Linked DNA regions of Xenopus tropicalis. The protein of the gene in region 1 binds, or shares a complex with, the protein of each later gene. Links are inferred from orthologs where the notes say so. Each region holds a gene or a part of one and is shown in the gene's direction. Other genes may lie near its edges.

Evidence for each region.
Region 2: tctn1 (region 1) and tmem107 share a complex: the UniProt entries of both Homo sapiens proteins name them as parts of the tectonic-like complex. The link is inferred for Xenopus tropicalis from reciprocal best matches to the Homo sapiens genes TCTN1 and TMEM107.
Region 3: tctn1 (region 1) and tmem216 share a complex: the UniProt entries of both Homo sapiens proteins name them as parts of the tectonic-like complex. The link is inferred for Xenopus tropicalis from reciprocal best matches to the Homo sapiens genes TCTN1 and TMEM216.

Annotation. Positions count from the first base shown.
Region 1 is NC_030677.2:162,898,103-162,902,562, forward strand, and holds part of tctn1 (tectonic-1 precursor), read left to right. Parts: intron 1-65; coding exon 66-86; intron 87-1,719; coding exon 1,720-1,845; intron 1,846-3,658; coding exon 3,659-3,784; intron 3,785-4,460. UniProt on the Homo sapiens protein: Component of the tectonic-like complex, a complex localized at the transition zone of primary cilia and acting as a barrier that prevents diffusion of transmembrane proteins between the cilia and plasma membranes.
Region 2 is NC_030679.2:144,535,689-144,540,712, reverse strand, and holds the start of tmem107 (transmembrane protein 107), read left to right. Parts: upstream 1-2,011; 5' UTR 2,012-2,118; exon of another isoform or gene 2,119-2,135; intron 2,136-5,024. UniProt on the Homo sapiens protein: Plays a role in cilia formation and embryonic patterning. Requires for normal Sonic hedgehog (Shh) signaling in the neural tube and acts in combination with GLI2 and GLI3 to pattern ventral and intermediate neuronal cell types.
Region 3 is NC_030678.2:178,905,229-178,910,226, forward strand, and holds the start of tmem216 (transmembrane protein 216), read left to right. Parts: upstream 1-1,985; 5' UTR 1,986-2,061; coding exon 2,062-2,074; intron 2,075-3,563; coding exon 3,564-3,580; intron 3,581-4,846; coding exon 4,847-4,940; intron 4,941-4,998. UniProt on the Homo sapiens protein: Part of the tectonic-like complex which is required for tissue-specific ciliogenesis and may regulate ciliary membrane composition.

The DNA of each region.
Region 1 (4,460 bases):
TATATTACCTCTTGAAGGTTTAAAAATACTACATTTAAATATTTTGTTTTGTTTTTTTTGTGCAGACACCAAATTCTGGAAACCAGGTGAGACAATTATTGTTTTAAATTTAATTATTTAGTATAAATGAAAGGGACATGTATAGCTTCTAATAACCCATGTTAGTTGTTAAAAGTTGTGTCTCCATACAGAGGAGAAGGTTACCCAGGCTTTTATACACTAGGGATGCACCGAATCCAGGATTCGGCCAAGATTCTGCCTTTTTCAGCTGGATTCAGCCAAACCAAATCGTTAAAATCATGTGAATTTTTGCCACATAAACACAGAAGTTGAACATTTTTCACCATGAGTGAAGTGTGCGGTTTTCAGATCCTGGGAACAGCGTGGTTCACCCAGATCCTAAAATACATCATTTTAATTTACATAAATTTCTTTCCTGGATGTTTTTACCTTTCATGCCGTACCTTGCATATACATAATGCGGTATTGTACACTAACTGGTGATTTCTACTGCTGCTGTGTTGTTTGGAATCAAGGGATACATATAGCAGAGTGCATATTTTTTTGACATAATATGCTGAATTGAGTCTAGTCTGCATGCTTTGCTCTCACATTAGTTGTTTAATACATTGATCTTGGATATCAGACATGCCATACCTTAGAGCAGAGAGAAGAGCAAATAGGCACTCCACAGGAGCAGACCAATCGCGCCCTCATGATTTAAACCCACCTTTAGTGGGTTGAGGGGGAGCTGCATTGTTAGTACAGAGTGCAGTTGCATTCTCTTTATAAAGATGAACTAAAGGAGTTGAATTTCTAAAAAATGGAAGTTCATTCTCATAACAGGGGTGCCATTTCTCACCTTGCCTGATTGCTAAACAGCGCTGCTCACCCTAACTGGCCTTCAAGCTGGGCGCCCAGCCACTGCTCTAGGTTGCCTAGAGGTGCTATCTCCACAATATGGCAACTACTGACAAATCCAAAAAAAACATTGTTTTTATGTTTGTTCACACTAGAATGGGGGAGACAGCAGAATAACAACAATAAGCTGGGTTTTTTGGGTCACACAGGTGGCTTCATTTCTCAACAGCCAGCTAATCCTGCTGTGTACAAAAGATTTGATTATGTTCCTGTGCAGTATAAGTGCAGATCTTTTTGGTGCTGTGTGCTTCTGTAGCATATGAGCTAGCCTTTGATCCTTAATGAAGCAGTGATTGCTGTGCTTGATTTATGTAGTGCTGATATTTTCTGCAACACTTTACATCAGGCATACATCAGTCACTGCGCCATTAAAGCTTACAGTCTAAGGTCCCTATCACAGTCACACACACACAACATTCTGTTTTATCAGTGAATAAGCATGTTTTTGGAACTGGAGAGGGAGAAAACTTCAATATTGCAGCCAGAGTATACCTTCTTCTTCCTTCTTCACACTACTTGTGCATGTGCAGTAGAGTGAAAAGATAAACTTTAACAAAAAAGCCGGCCTTTTCACTCTACTTCACATGCGCTGGCCCTGGGATTCCAAAGAGAGAATAAAGAAGGAAAAGGATCGACAAAACAGTTTTCTCCTAACAGGAGCACCAGTCTGGGGTATAAGGTACGAGATTACAATCACTGGGACATATGGCACCCCCCAGTGATTAGTACCTTTACTTTTCCTTTAATGATGCTTGCTTCTTGGAGAGAATATAACATTTACACAATTACCATTTGCAGATTAATATAACAGTACAGTCTATAATGAAGAAGTCTCTCGATGGGATCTTTATCCCAAGTGTCATAGATCATTATGTTCCTGTTTTGGACAATACAACAGAGCTTTGTAAAGATGTGGTTTTGGGGGTAAGTAAATATTTTTATTACAAAGTAGTTTTAATTCTTTATCTCCAGCATAGCCCTACTTACTTACAGGATATGTCATATACCACAGTATCAGTAAATGACAGAGGGGGTAATTTACTAAGGTTCCGGGCAGAAGTGCAAGAGCACTAAGAGTGCAACCCTTACTACTCATGCAGACAGCACTTCTGCCCGGGTCTGTCTGCACTCTGAACTTTATGCTGGATAATCAATTCGGAGCAAAAAATGATGAATTCTACATGTTTCCCAGCAGATATTGCTCTGTCACTGTGAAGCTGGTCTTCCAGAAGTATCTGCTAAAGCAAAGAGGCCTTCTCCCCAAAACTCACCCTAAATGGCTTTCAGTCTAGTTCCCACAAGGAGAAAGGATAATTAGAAATTATGACAGATTTACCTTAATTTAAGTATAATATGACATTGGGCATTCTGTTGGGATGTCTAAATATGCATTAGGCTGTAAACTGCCGACTCCTTTTAAATGTATTTTTGGAATTTGTTCTGGGAGCTGTATTTATAAACTGTAAGGTTGGTAGTTATTTATCTGCAGAAAGTCAAACATAAAAATCTTGGTTGTTTTTACATATGTATGCTTATTAATATGAGTGGGAACTTATATATTGCGCCTTCTCCCAATGCATACATTTATATGGTCTCTAGTGGTCACAAAAAAAATGTTACTTACATTTTTAACTTGTAGACATAATTGGCAGGCATGGATTTGTGGTGAATTTCTGTGTTTCACCATTGGCGCATTTTTTGCAAGACGGGTGAAAAAATGCGGCAAGAAAAAATTTGGTGCGCTCAACAAACAATTGTTGTGGAAAAATTGTTTTTGGAAAAGATTAGTGTAACGGCGAAGAATTAGCAAAAGGCTGAAAATGCTACGCGTCAAAAAAAAAATTGTTGCACGTCATTTCAGAGTTTCGCAAATTTTTTGCCGTTTCATTAATCTTTTCCAAGTTTTGGACAGATTCGCCAATCTTTAAAGGTAACGGTAAAGGTAAAAAACAGTAACACCAAAAAATGAAAGAGTATAAAAGTAACTAAAATATAACGTGCTGCTGCCCTGCGCTGGTAAAAGTTGTGTGTTTTCTTCAGAAAGTCTACTATAATTTATATAAATAAGCTGCTATGTAGCCATGGAGGCAGCCATTCAAAGAATAAAAGGCACAGGCACATAGCAGATAAAACACTATTGTATTCTACAGAACTTATCTGTTATCTGCTATGTAACCTGTGCCTTTTCTCCTTTTTTCCAGCTTGAATGGCTGCCCCCGGGGCTACACAGCAGCTTATTATATAAATTATAGTAGTGTTACTGTAGCAAACACACCAGTTTTACCAGTGCAGGGCAACAGTGCATTATATTTTTATTACTTTAAAGCTCTTTCATTTTTTGGTGTTACTGTTCCTTTAAGACATAAAAGCCTGCTTTCTTTACTCTATGAGCACAATCTTTATTGTACAGTTCATACCTGGTCGGTATAATTTCCCTTAAAAGTATTAGCATTTTTCATGACAGCACGTCTGATACAGAAGCCTTTATATGATTATTGTTGACACAAATTTATAAAGAGCCAACACCTTCTGCAGTACTGTATAATAAATGGGTGTATACATTGAACATACAGATTTACATGCAAAAAATACAGCCTATAACCAGTACAAGAGGGGCTGCTCACTTAGCATTTGTTACTCCGGTTTATGACAGTGTATCAGGACGTCACTGATTCTTTATACACTATAAACATGAAAGTAGAGCAAATAAAACTGAATTCTAATGCTTGCCTTTCAGGGGAGTTACCAGATCCTATACACAGAACAAGGAGCAATTACAGCTGTAAATGCTTTCCTCATATTGGGAGTAATTAACGCTACTCTGGGAACAGTTCAGCAAAGTTTTAAAGTTTCTTTTGTTCAGGTGTGTTTTATTCTCTTGTTTTTTTTTGCAGTGACTATATAGAATGTATAAGTGTGTGCATATAAAATCGGATCAGTCCTGTGCTTTGAATAATACTTTTAAGATTGAAAGCTCTTATATATATATATATATATATTTTTTTTTTTTTTAAAGATTTTATTTTGCATATTTTATATTTCTATTTAGAATTATCAATGGAGAAGGAAAGGTAAAAACTAAGTAAGCTTTATCAGAAAGGTCTATGTAAATACAGCCATAAGCACTCACAGAAAGTTATCTTATCTGTCAAAAGAAACAGGATTTCTTTTCTCTTTTGTTTTCCTGTGCCAGAGACACGCAGCCCTCTCCCCTCTCCTGCTCCCCCTCCCTCAAGAATGCTAAAAACTCCCCCCCCCCCATCCTTAGGAATGTGTGATCTTAGCCAATCAGCAGGAAGCTTCCTCATAGTCTTACAAACTGAGCATGTACACCGGTCTTGGTCTTGGTGCAGGAGCGAGGCATTATGGGAACTTTTTTTTTACAGAGCTCAGCATTTTTTTTTCCTATGAGGCTATGGGAGAAATATGGGGAGACTTAAGGGCACTATTGAGAGAACTGAAGGTATGCCTGCAGCTTGAGATTAACTCTTTATTAGCCTTTCCTTATCCTTTAATATATATAGGATAAAATTACAAAA
Region 2 (5,024 bases), on another chromosome or scaffold:
GTACTGATCTAAGCACTTCTCTGCTGGTTTTTCTTTCACTGCCTTCCTCCCAGTGCGCTGCTGTTTCAGTATTTGCATTCCACTAGTTCAAGCTCCTCATCCTGCCGCTTACACTTAGTATCAACTTATTCCAACAGCTTCCTCCTTATAACTCTGTCCCCTGACTGCTTCATAGGAGAATCTTCTTCCATCAAAACCTCCTCAAGAAGAAGATCTTCATCTGCCATCTGATCTCCATCTGCTTCTCCCCACCATCTCCTTGATCCAACTGCTTCTTCCCTGAGAGACCTTCATCTCCTTCTTCCCACCATCTCCTTGATCCAACTGCTTCTTCCCTGAGAGACCTTCATCTCCTTCTTCCCACCATCTCCTTGATCCAACTGCTTCTTCCCTGAGAGACCTTCATCTCCTTCTTCCCACCATCTCCTTGATCCAACTGCTTCTTCCCTGAGAGACCTTCATCTCCTTCTTCCCACCATCTCCTTGATCCAACTGCTTCTTCCCCGAGAGACCTTGATCTCCTTCTTCCCACCATCTCCTTGATCCAACTGCTTCTTCCCTGAGAGACCTTCATCTCCTTCTTCCTACCATCTCCTTGATCCAACTGCTTCTTCCCTGAGAGACCTTCATCTGCTTCTCCCCACCATCTCCTTGATCCAACTGCTTCTTCCCTGAGAGACCTTCATCTGCTTCTTCCCACCATCTCCTTGATCCAACTGCTTCTTCCCAGAGAGACCTTCATCTGCTTCTCCCACGATCTCCTTGATCCAACGCTTCTTCCCTGAGAGACCTTCATCTGCTTCTCCCCAGTATCTCTTTCTATCGATCTATCAGTTTACCTTACTACACCTTCTCTCTCCCTCCTGCTGTTCTGATCAATCAGTAATCGGAACAATAGAAAGGCATTCGTAAGCCAGCCATACACGCACAGATGTTATCATCTCGTACAATATTCGGTGCGTGTATGGTGACTTGTAGAGGCGACCAATATCCCAGAGGCTGTGGATATCGGTTGAAGGCGCCATTGAAGGCGCCCGAGCAAAATCTACGTTCAGGGCTGAAGGAGGTAGAATTTCTATTGTTTCTACCTCCTTATCTGATGATTCAGCCCTGAACTTCAGCTACGTGTATGGCCACCTTTACTTGTATGCTCTCCATCCATTTGGCTTAGGGGCCACTCTTTGGAGAGCGTTCCAGATGGGCCAATGCCTGATTAGAAGATCTAGGCAGTTTGTTATACAGCCCTACACATTTTGGGGAGTGAAAGATAGCTATATCTGTGGGCCCCAGGGTCGGACTGGGGGGGGTGCAGGGCACACCAGGGCTCCCGCCCTAACCCCCCCAACCCCCCACAGGGTCCCCCACCCGACGTCCTCCCCTGAGCTCCCGTAAATTTAACGCCTCAGGGGAGGAACGGTCGGGCAGGGGGAGCGCCGGGATTTGTCCCGGTGTCCCAGCGGCCCAGTCCGACCCTGGTGGGCCCAGATAGTCAAGGGGTATGCACAGGGAGGTGCTGCTTCCCCCGCCCCCTGGAGGGTGGGAAAGAAACAATGTTTCAGGAGCCTAAACCACCTGTATAGAGGATATATAAATCCCTTGTGTAACTTCCCATGCAGTTAATTCCCTCACTGTGGGAAGTAAAGTCATAATGACGTCATTATACCCAGTAATATTCCCAGGGTGCATCAGGCCTGTAGTAAGAAGGTAGCGTGGCCGAGCGGTCTAAGGCGCTGGATTTAGGCTCCAGTCTCTCTGGAGGCGTGGGTTCGAATCCCACCGCTGCCAACTCAGCTTTTTATTTTCCCCCCTGCATCTATGGCTTGATATATTTTCGCTCGAACTGTAACTTCTTTTCGATTAGCCGCCATTGTGGAGGCTTTGCATCTATATATATGTTAGTTTGGGACAGGTTTCATAATCAGGGATGTGTCGTCGCTTTTACGACAAAGCGCTAAAACTTCCAGCTACAATAATGGCGGACTTGCCTTCTGCCCCATGTGACCGGGGCTCAGTAGGTGAATGGTCAGAATCTCCTGAATCCTGCGCGTTTTGGTTAGGACGCTGAGGGGTTGCTAGGCAACGGTAAGCGGCGGGTTTTCGGCTCGGAGATTGGAACGGGTAAGGGTTTTGTTCCAGTAAGTTACTGGTTTAACTGGTCTCTGCCCGGGGAATACTTTGTATGTGAGATATTTAATGGTTAATTTATACAGTATAAGTAGCTATAAAAGTCTGTATATATTATATGAGAGGGTTGCCGGCCTGTATATACAGTAATAGGAGTCAGGGAAGCCTGTATATATTATATGAGAGGGTTGCCGGCCTGTATATACAGTAATAGGAGTCAGGGAAGCCTGTATATATTATATGAGAGGGTTGCCGGCATGTATATACAGTAATAGGAGTCAGGGAAGCCTGTATATATTATATGAGAGGGTTGCCGGCATGTATATACAGTAATAGGAGTCAGGGAAGCCTGTATATATTATATGAGAGGGTTGCCGGCCTGTATATACAGTAATAGGGGTCAGGGAAGCCTGTATATATTATATGAGAGGGTTGCCGGCATGTATATACAGTAATAGGAGTCAGGGAAGCCTGTATATATTATATGAGAGGGTTACCGGCCTGTATATACAGTAATAGGAGTCAGGGAAGCCTGTATATATTATATGAGAGGGTTGCCGGCCTGTATATACAGTAATAGGAGTCAGGGAAGCCTGTATATATTATATGAGAGGGTTACCCGCCTGTATATACAGTAATAGGAGTCAGGGAAGCCTGTATATATTATATGAGAGGGTTGCCGGCCTGTATATACTGTAATAGGAGTCAGGGAAGCCTGGATATATTATATGAGAGGGTTGCCGGCCTGTATATACAGTAATAGGAGTCAGGGAAGCCTGGATATATTATATGAGAGGGTTACCGGCCTGTATATACAGTAATAGGAGTCAGGGAAGCCTGGATATATTATATGAGAGGGTTACCGGCCTGTATATACAGTAATAGGAGTCAGGGAAGCCTGTATATATTATATGAGAGGGTTACCGGCCTGTATATACAGTAATAGGAGTCAGGGAAGCCTGTATATATTATATGAGAGGGTTACCGGCCTGTATATACAGTAATAGGAGTCAGGGAAGCCTGTATATATTATATGAGAGGGTTGCCGGCCTGTATATACAGTAATAGGAGTCAGGGAAGCCTGTATATATTATATGAGAGGGTTACCGGCCTGTATATACAGTAATAGGAGTCAGGGAAGCCTGTATATATTATATGAGAGGGTTGCCGGCCTGTATATACAGTAATAGGAGTCAGGGAAGCCTGGATATATTATATGAGAGGGTTACCGGCCTGTATATACAGTAATAGGAGTCAGGGAAGCCTGTATATATTATATGAGAGGGTCCCTGGCCTGTATATACAGTAATAGGAGTCAGGGAAGCCTGTATATATTATATGAGAGGGTTGCCGGCCTGTATATACAGTAATAGGGGTCAGGGAAGCCTGTATATATTATATGAGAGGGTTGCCGGCATGTATATACAGTAATAGGAGTCAGGGAAGCCTGTATATATTATATGAGAGGGTTACCGGCCTGTATATACAGTAATAGGAGTCAGGGAAGCCTGTATATATTATATGAGAGGGTCCCTGGCCTGTATATACAGTAATAGGAGTCAGGGAAGCCTGTATATATTATATGAGAGGGTTGCCGGCCTGTATATACAGTAATAGGGGTCAGGGAAGCCTGTATATATTATATGAGAGGGTTGCCGGCATGTATATACAGTAATAGGAGTCAGGGAAGCCTGTATATATTATATGAGAGGGTTACCGGCCTGTATATACAGTAATAGGAGTCAGGGAAGCCTGGATATATTATATGAGAGGGTTGCCGGCCTGTATATACAGTAATAGGAGTCAGGGAAGCCTGTATATATTATATGAGAGGGTTACCCGCCTGTATATACAGTAATAGGAGTCAGGGAAGCCTGTATATATTATATGAGAGGGTTGCCGGCCTGTATATACTGTAATAGGAGTCAGGGAAGCCTGGATATATTATATGAGAGGGTTGCCGGCCTGTATATACAGTAATAGGAGTCAGGGAAGCCTGGATATATTATATGAGAGGGTTACCGGCCTGTATATACAGTAATAGGAGTCAGGGAAGCCTGTATATATTATATGAGAGGGTTACCGGCCTGTATATACAGTAATAGGAGTCAGGGAAGCCTGTATATATTATATGAGAAGGTTGCCGGCCTGTATATACAGTAATAGGAGTCAGGGAAGCCTGTATATATTATATGAGAGGGTTACCGGCCTGTATATACAGTAATAGGAGTCAGGGAAGCCTGTATATATTATAAGAGAGGGTTGCCGGCCTGTATATACAGTAATAGGAGTCAGGGAAGCCTGGATATATTATATGAGAGGGTTACCGGCCTGTATATACAGTAATAGGAGTCAGGGAAGCCTGTATATATTATATGAGAGGGTCCCTGGCCTGTATATACAGTAATAGGAGTCAGGGAAGCCTGTATATATTATATGAGAGGGTTGCCGGCCTGTATATACAGTAATAGGGGTCAGGGAAGCCTGTATATATTATATGAGAGGGTCCCTGGCCTGTATTTACAGTAATAGGAGTCAGGGAAGCCTGTATATATTATATGAGAGGGTTACCGGCCTGTATATACAGTAATAGGAGTCAGGGAAGCCTGGATATATTATATGAGAGGGTCCCTGGCCTGTATATACAGTAATAGGAGTCAGGGAAGCCTGTATATATTATATGAGAGGGTTACCGGCCTGTATATACAGTAATAGGAGTCAGGGAAGCCTGTATATATTATATGAGAGGGTCCCTGGCCTGTATATACAGTAATAGGAGTCAGGGAAGCCTGTATATATTATATGAGAGGGTCCCTGGCCTGTATATACAGTAATAGGAGTCAGGGAAGCCTGGATATATTATATGAGAGGGTTACCGGCCTGTATATACAGTAATAGGA
Region 3 (4,998 bases), on another chromosome or scaffold:
CCGGCGGGTGGGATCAGAGTGGGGATCAGGGTGGGATCAGGGTGGGGATCAGGGTGGGGATCAGGGTGGGGATCAGGGTGGGATCAGGGTGGGGATCAGGGTGGGGATCAGGGTGGGGATCAAGGTGGGAAAAGGGTGGGATCAGGGTGGGGATCAGGGTGGGATCAGGGTGGGGATCAGAGTGGGGATCAGGGTGGGATCAGGGTGGGGATCAGGGTGGGGATCAGGGTGGGGATCAAGGTGGGAAAAGGGTGGGATCAGGGTGGGGATCAGGGTGGGATCAGGGTGGGAAAAGGGTGGGGATCAGGGTGGGGATCAGGGTGGGGATCAGGGTGGGATCAGGGTGGGGATCAAGGTGGGAAAAGGGTGGGATCAGGGTGGGGATCAGGGTGGGGATCAGGGTGGGGATCAAGGTGGGATCAGGGTGGGGATCAGGGTGGGGATCAGGGTGGGATCAGGGTGGGGATCAGGGTGGGATCAGGGTGGGGATCAGGGTGGGGATCAGGGTGGGGATCAGGGTGGGATCAGGGTGGGGATCAAGGTGGGGATCAAGGTGGGAAAAGGGTGGGATCAAGGTGGGGATCAGGGTGGGGATTAAGAAGGAAACAGGGTGGGAAAAGGGTGGGGATCAGGGTGGGAAAAGGGTGGGATCAGGGTGGGGATCAAGGTGGGGATCAAGAAGGAAACAGGGTGGGAAAAGGGTGGGGATCAGGGTGGGGATCAGGGTGGGGATCAAGAAGGAAACAGGGTGGGAAAAGGGTGGGGATCAGGGTGGGAAAAGGGTGGGATCAGGGTGGGGATCAAGGTGGGGATCAAGAAGGAAACAGGGTGGGAAAAGGGTGGGGATCAGGGTGGGAAAAGGGTGGGGATCAGGGTGGGAAAAGGGTGGGGATCAGGGTGGAAAAAGGGTGGGATCAGGGTGGGATCAAGGTGGGGATCAAGGTGGGGATCAAGAAGGAAACAGGGTGGGAAAAGGGTGGGGATCAGGGTGGGAAAATGGTGGGATCAGGGTGGAAAAAGGGTGGGATCAGGGTGGGATCAAGGTGGGGATCAGGGTGGGAAAAGGGTGGGATCAGGGTGAGGATCAAGGTGGGGATCAAGAAGGAAACAGGGTGGGAAAAGGGTGGGGATCAGGGTGGGAAAATGGTGGGATCAGGGTGGGAAAAGGGTGGGGATCAGGGTGGGGATCAAGGTGGGGATCAAGAAGGAAACAGGGTGGGAAAAGGGTGGGGATCACGGTGGGGATCAGTGACCTGTAACTCCGCCCATGTGTTACTAAAAGTAAATATAAAGGGGAAGTTGACCCTTTATTGGGCTATGGGTTCTATAATGAAGTAACTGTGAGTAACATAATTAGGTGAGTAGCAGTGAGACGAGGAAACCGTGGGTGGGAACATCCGGCTCTTGAAGCGAGGGTCTCGCATCTCAGCCCCAATTAATAACGACTGCGCATCACTACTGAGAGACAGCAGCATCGGCCCCCAACTCTCCCACCCTCGCTCCTCTACTGCCCCCCGTGCAGTCATTAGTGCTCATACTGCCTCTTGTGTTTGGAATAACCTCTTCAGTGTTATAAAGGGTTGTCTCCATCTTGCCCTACTGTCTCCATCTTGCCCTACTGTCTCCATCTTGCCCTACTGTCTCCATCTTGCCCTACTGTCCCCATCTTGCCCTACTGTCTCCATCTTGCCCTACTGTCCCCATCTTGCCCTACTGTCCCCATCTTGCCCTACTGTCCCCATCTTGCCCTACTGTCTCCATCTTGCCCTACTGTCCCCATCTTGCCCTACTGTCCCCATCTTGCCCTACTGTCCCCATCTTGCCCTACTGTCTCCATCTTGCCCTACTGTCTCCCTGGGCAGAGGAGCTAGCAATCTAATTTGGCTGCAGGTACACTCTCCATTGAACAGTTCCCAGAAGCCCAGCCAGTCCCAGTTATTTAGTGGCCCTGAATGTTAGGGGGGAAGGCGCTAGGACCCCGCGGCGCACAGGCGGCTCAGGGGGTCACGTGTTGCGGAGGTTTCCAGGGAGTGACGTCACAGGCGTCCTTAGAGCAGCAAGATGGCGCCCAAAGGTAAGCGGGAGGCGAAGCAGCGGATGGAAGAGCGGCCCCCCTGCTCCCTGTAATGGCGCCTGTAAGCGTGGGGCTACTGTGTCCCCTATGCAAGAGGTGCAGCTGATCAGCGGGACTACAACTCCCAGCATCCCCTGCACCCGATGCCGCTACGCTGTCCCCTTACCTGCTGCATAGGGACCCGCACCGCTAGTGTGCAACTACAACTGGGGGGGGGGGGGGGGGGCTGTTAGACCACAATTCCCGGCATCCCCAGAGAAGCAGCGACTTCTCCCTGTTACCCACAATAGCGCACATTCCCCGGGCAGGTGGGTATATTATGGGCAGGTGGGTATATTATGGGCAGGTAAGTGGGTATATTATGGGCAGGTGGGTATATTATGGGCAGGTGGGTATATTACGGGCAGGCGGGTGGGTATATTACGGGCAGGTATGTGGGTATATTACGGGCAGGCGGGTGGGTATATTACGGGCAGGCGGGTGGGTATATTACGGGCAGGCGGGTGGGAATATTACGGGCAGGCGGGTGGGTATATTACGGGCAGGTATGTGGGTATATTACGGCAGGCGGGTGGGTATATTACGGGCAGGCGGGTGGGTATATTACGGGCAGGCGGGTTGGTATATTACGGGCAGGTATGTGGGTATATTACGGGCAGGCGGGTGGGTATATTACGGGCAGGCGGGTGGGTATATTACGGGCAGGTATGTGGGTATATTACGGGCAGGCAGGTGGGTATATTACGGGCAGGCGGGTGGGTATATTACGGGCAGGCGGGTGGGTATATTACGGGCAGGTATGTGGGTATATTACGGGCAGGCGGGTTGGGGTATATTACGGGCAGGCGGGTGGGTATATTACGGGCAGGCGGGTGGGTAATATTACGGGCAGGGGGTGGGAATATTACGGGCAGCGGTGGGTATATTACGGGCAGGCGGGTGGGTATATTGAGGGCAGGCGGGTGGGTATATTACGGGCAGGCGGGTGGGTATATTACGGGCAGGCGGGTGGGTATATTACGGGCAGGTATGTGGGTATATTATGGGCAGGCGGGTGGGTATATTACGGGCAGGCGGGTGGGAATATTACGGGCAGGCGGGTGGGTATATTATGGGCAGGCGGGTGGGTATATTACGGGCAGGCGGGTGGGAATATTACGGGCAGGCGGGTGGGTATATTATGGGCAGGCAGGTGGGTATATTACGGGCAGGTGGGTATATTACGGGCAGGCAGGTGGGTATATTACGGGCAGGCGGGTGGGAATATTACGGGCAGGCGGGTGGGTATATTACGGGCAGGCGGGTGGATATATTACGGGCAGGCGGGTGGGTATATTACGGGCAGGTATGTGGGTATATTATGGGCACCTACAGGGGGAGACCAAACATGGCTGCTCTGAGTGCTGGGAGGGGCCCCCGGCCCCCACTGGGTCTTCTGCTTGGTATCATGTGACTTGTGCTGCCCCCTAACTGTGCGTTTGCTTCCCAGGGAGAAGGCGCGGAGTTGTATCCTTGGCACTTACATAGGTGAGACGGTACCAAGTCACCTGTACAGGTATAGCCTGGCCCCGCCCACTGCTTCTTATATTCCTTTAACAATTCATGGGGGTACATTACCCCTTATAATACATGAGTGATACTCAGAGTTCCCTGTATAACTCAGCCTGCAGCCTTGTGCCTTTATATGGGGGGCACAGAACCCCTCAGTGACTGCTAATATCCTTATCATTTACAGTAGGGGGTACATTATCCCTTATAATACATGAGTGATACTCAGAGTTCCCTGTATAACTCAGCCTGCAGCCTTGTGCCTTTATATGGGGGGCACAGAACCCCTCAGTGACTGCTAATATCCTTATCATTTACAGTAGGGGGTACATTATCCCTTATAATACATGAGTGATACTCAGAGTTCCCTGTATAACTCAGCCTGCAGCCTTGTGCCTTTATATGGGCACAGAACCCCTCAGTGACTGCTAATATCCTTATCATTTACAGTAGGGGGTACATTATCCCTTATAATACATGAGTGATACTCAGAGTTCCCTGTATAACTCAGCCTGCAGCCTTGTGCCTTTATATGGGGGGCACAGAACCCCTCAGTGACTGCTAATATCCTTATCATTTACAGTAGGGGGTACATTATCCCTTATAATACATGAGTGATACTCAGAGTTCCCTGTATAACTCAGCCTGCAGCCTTGTGCCTTTATATGGGGGGCACAGAACCCCTCAGTGACTGCTAATATCCTTATCATTTACAGTAGGGGGTACATTATCCCTTATAATACATGAGTGATACTCAGAGTTCCCTGTATAACTCAGCCTGCAGCCTTGTGCCTTTATATGGGGGGCACAGAACCCCTCAGTGACTGCTAATATCCTTATCATTTACAGTAGGGGGTACAGTATCCCTATAATACATGAGTGATACTCAGAGTTCCCTGTATAACTCAGCCTGCAGCCTTGTGCCTTTATATGGGGGGCACAGAACCCCTCAGTGACTGCTAATATCCTTATCATTTACAGTAGGGGGTACAGTATCCCTTATAATACATGAGTGATACTCAGAGTTCCCTGTATAACTCAGCCTGCAGCCTTGTGCCTTTATATGGGGGGCACAGAACCCCTCAGTGACTGCTAATATCCTTATCATTTACAGTAGGGGGTACAGTATCCCTATAATACATGAGTGATACTCAGAGTGGGATTACATTACTCGGTACATTGTAGCATGAGTCGCATTATACAGTTTTTCCTGAACACAAGCAGCTCTCTTCCACGCCGCTGGAGGTTCTCTTCTTCCTCAATGGCTGGTACTGTGCTTCCTACTTCATCATCGAGACTCTCATTTTTATCTATAAAGGTGAGTTCCTATTGGCTGTGCATGTACCCCAGGGAGGCAGGAACCGCGGGGGGCAACA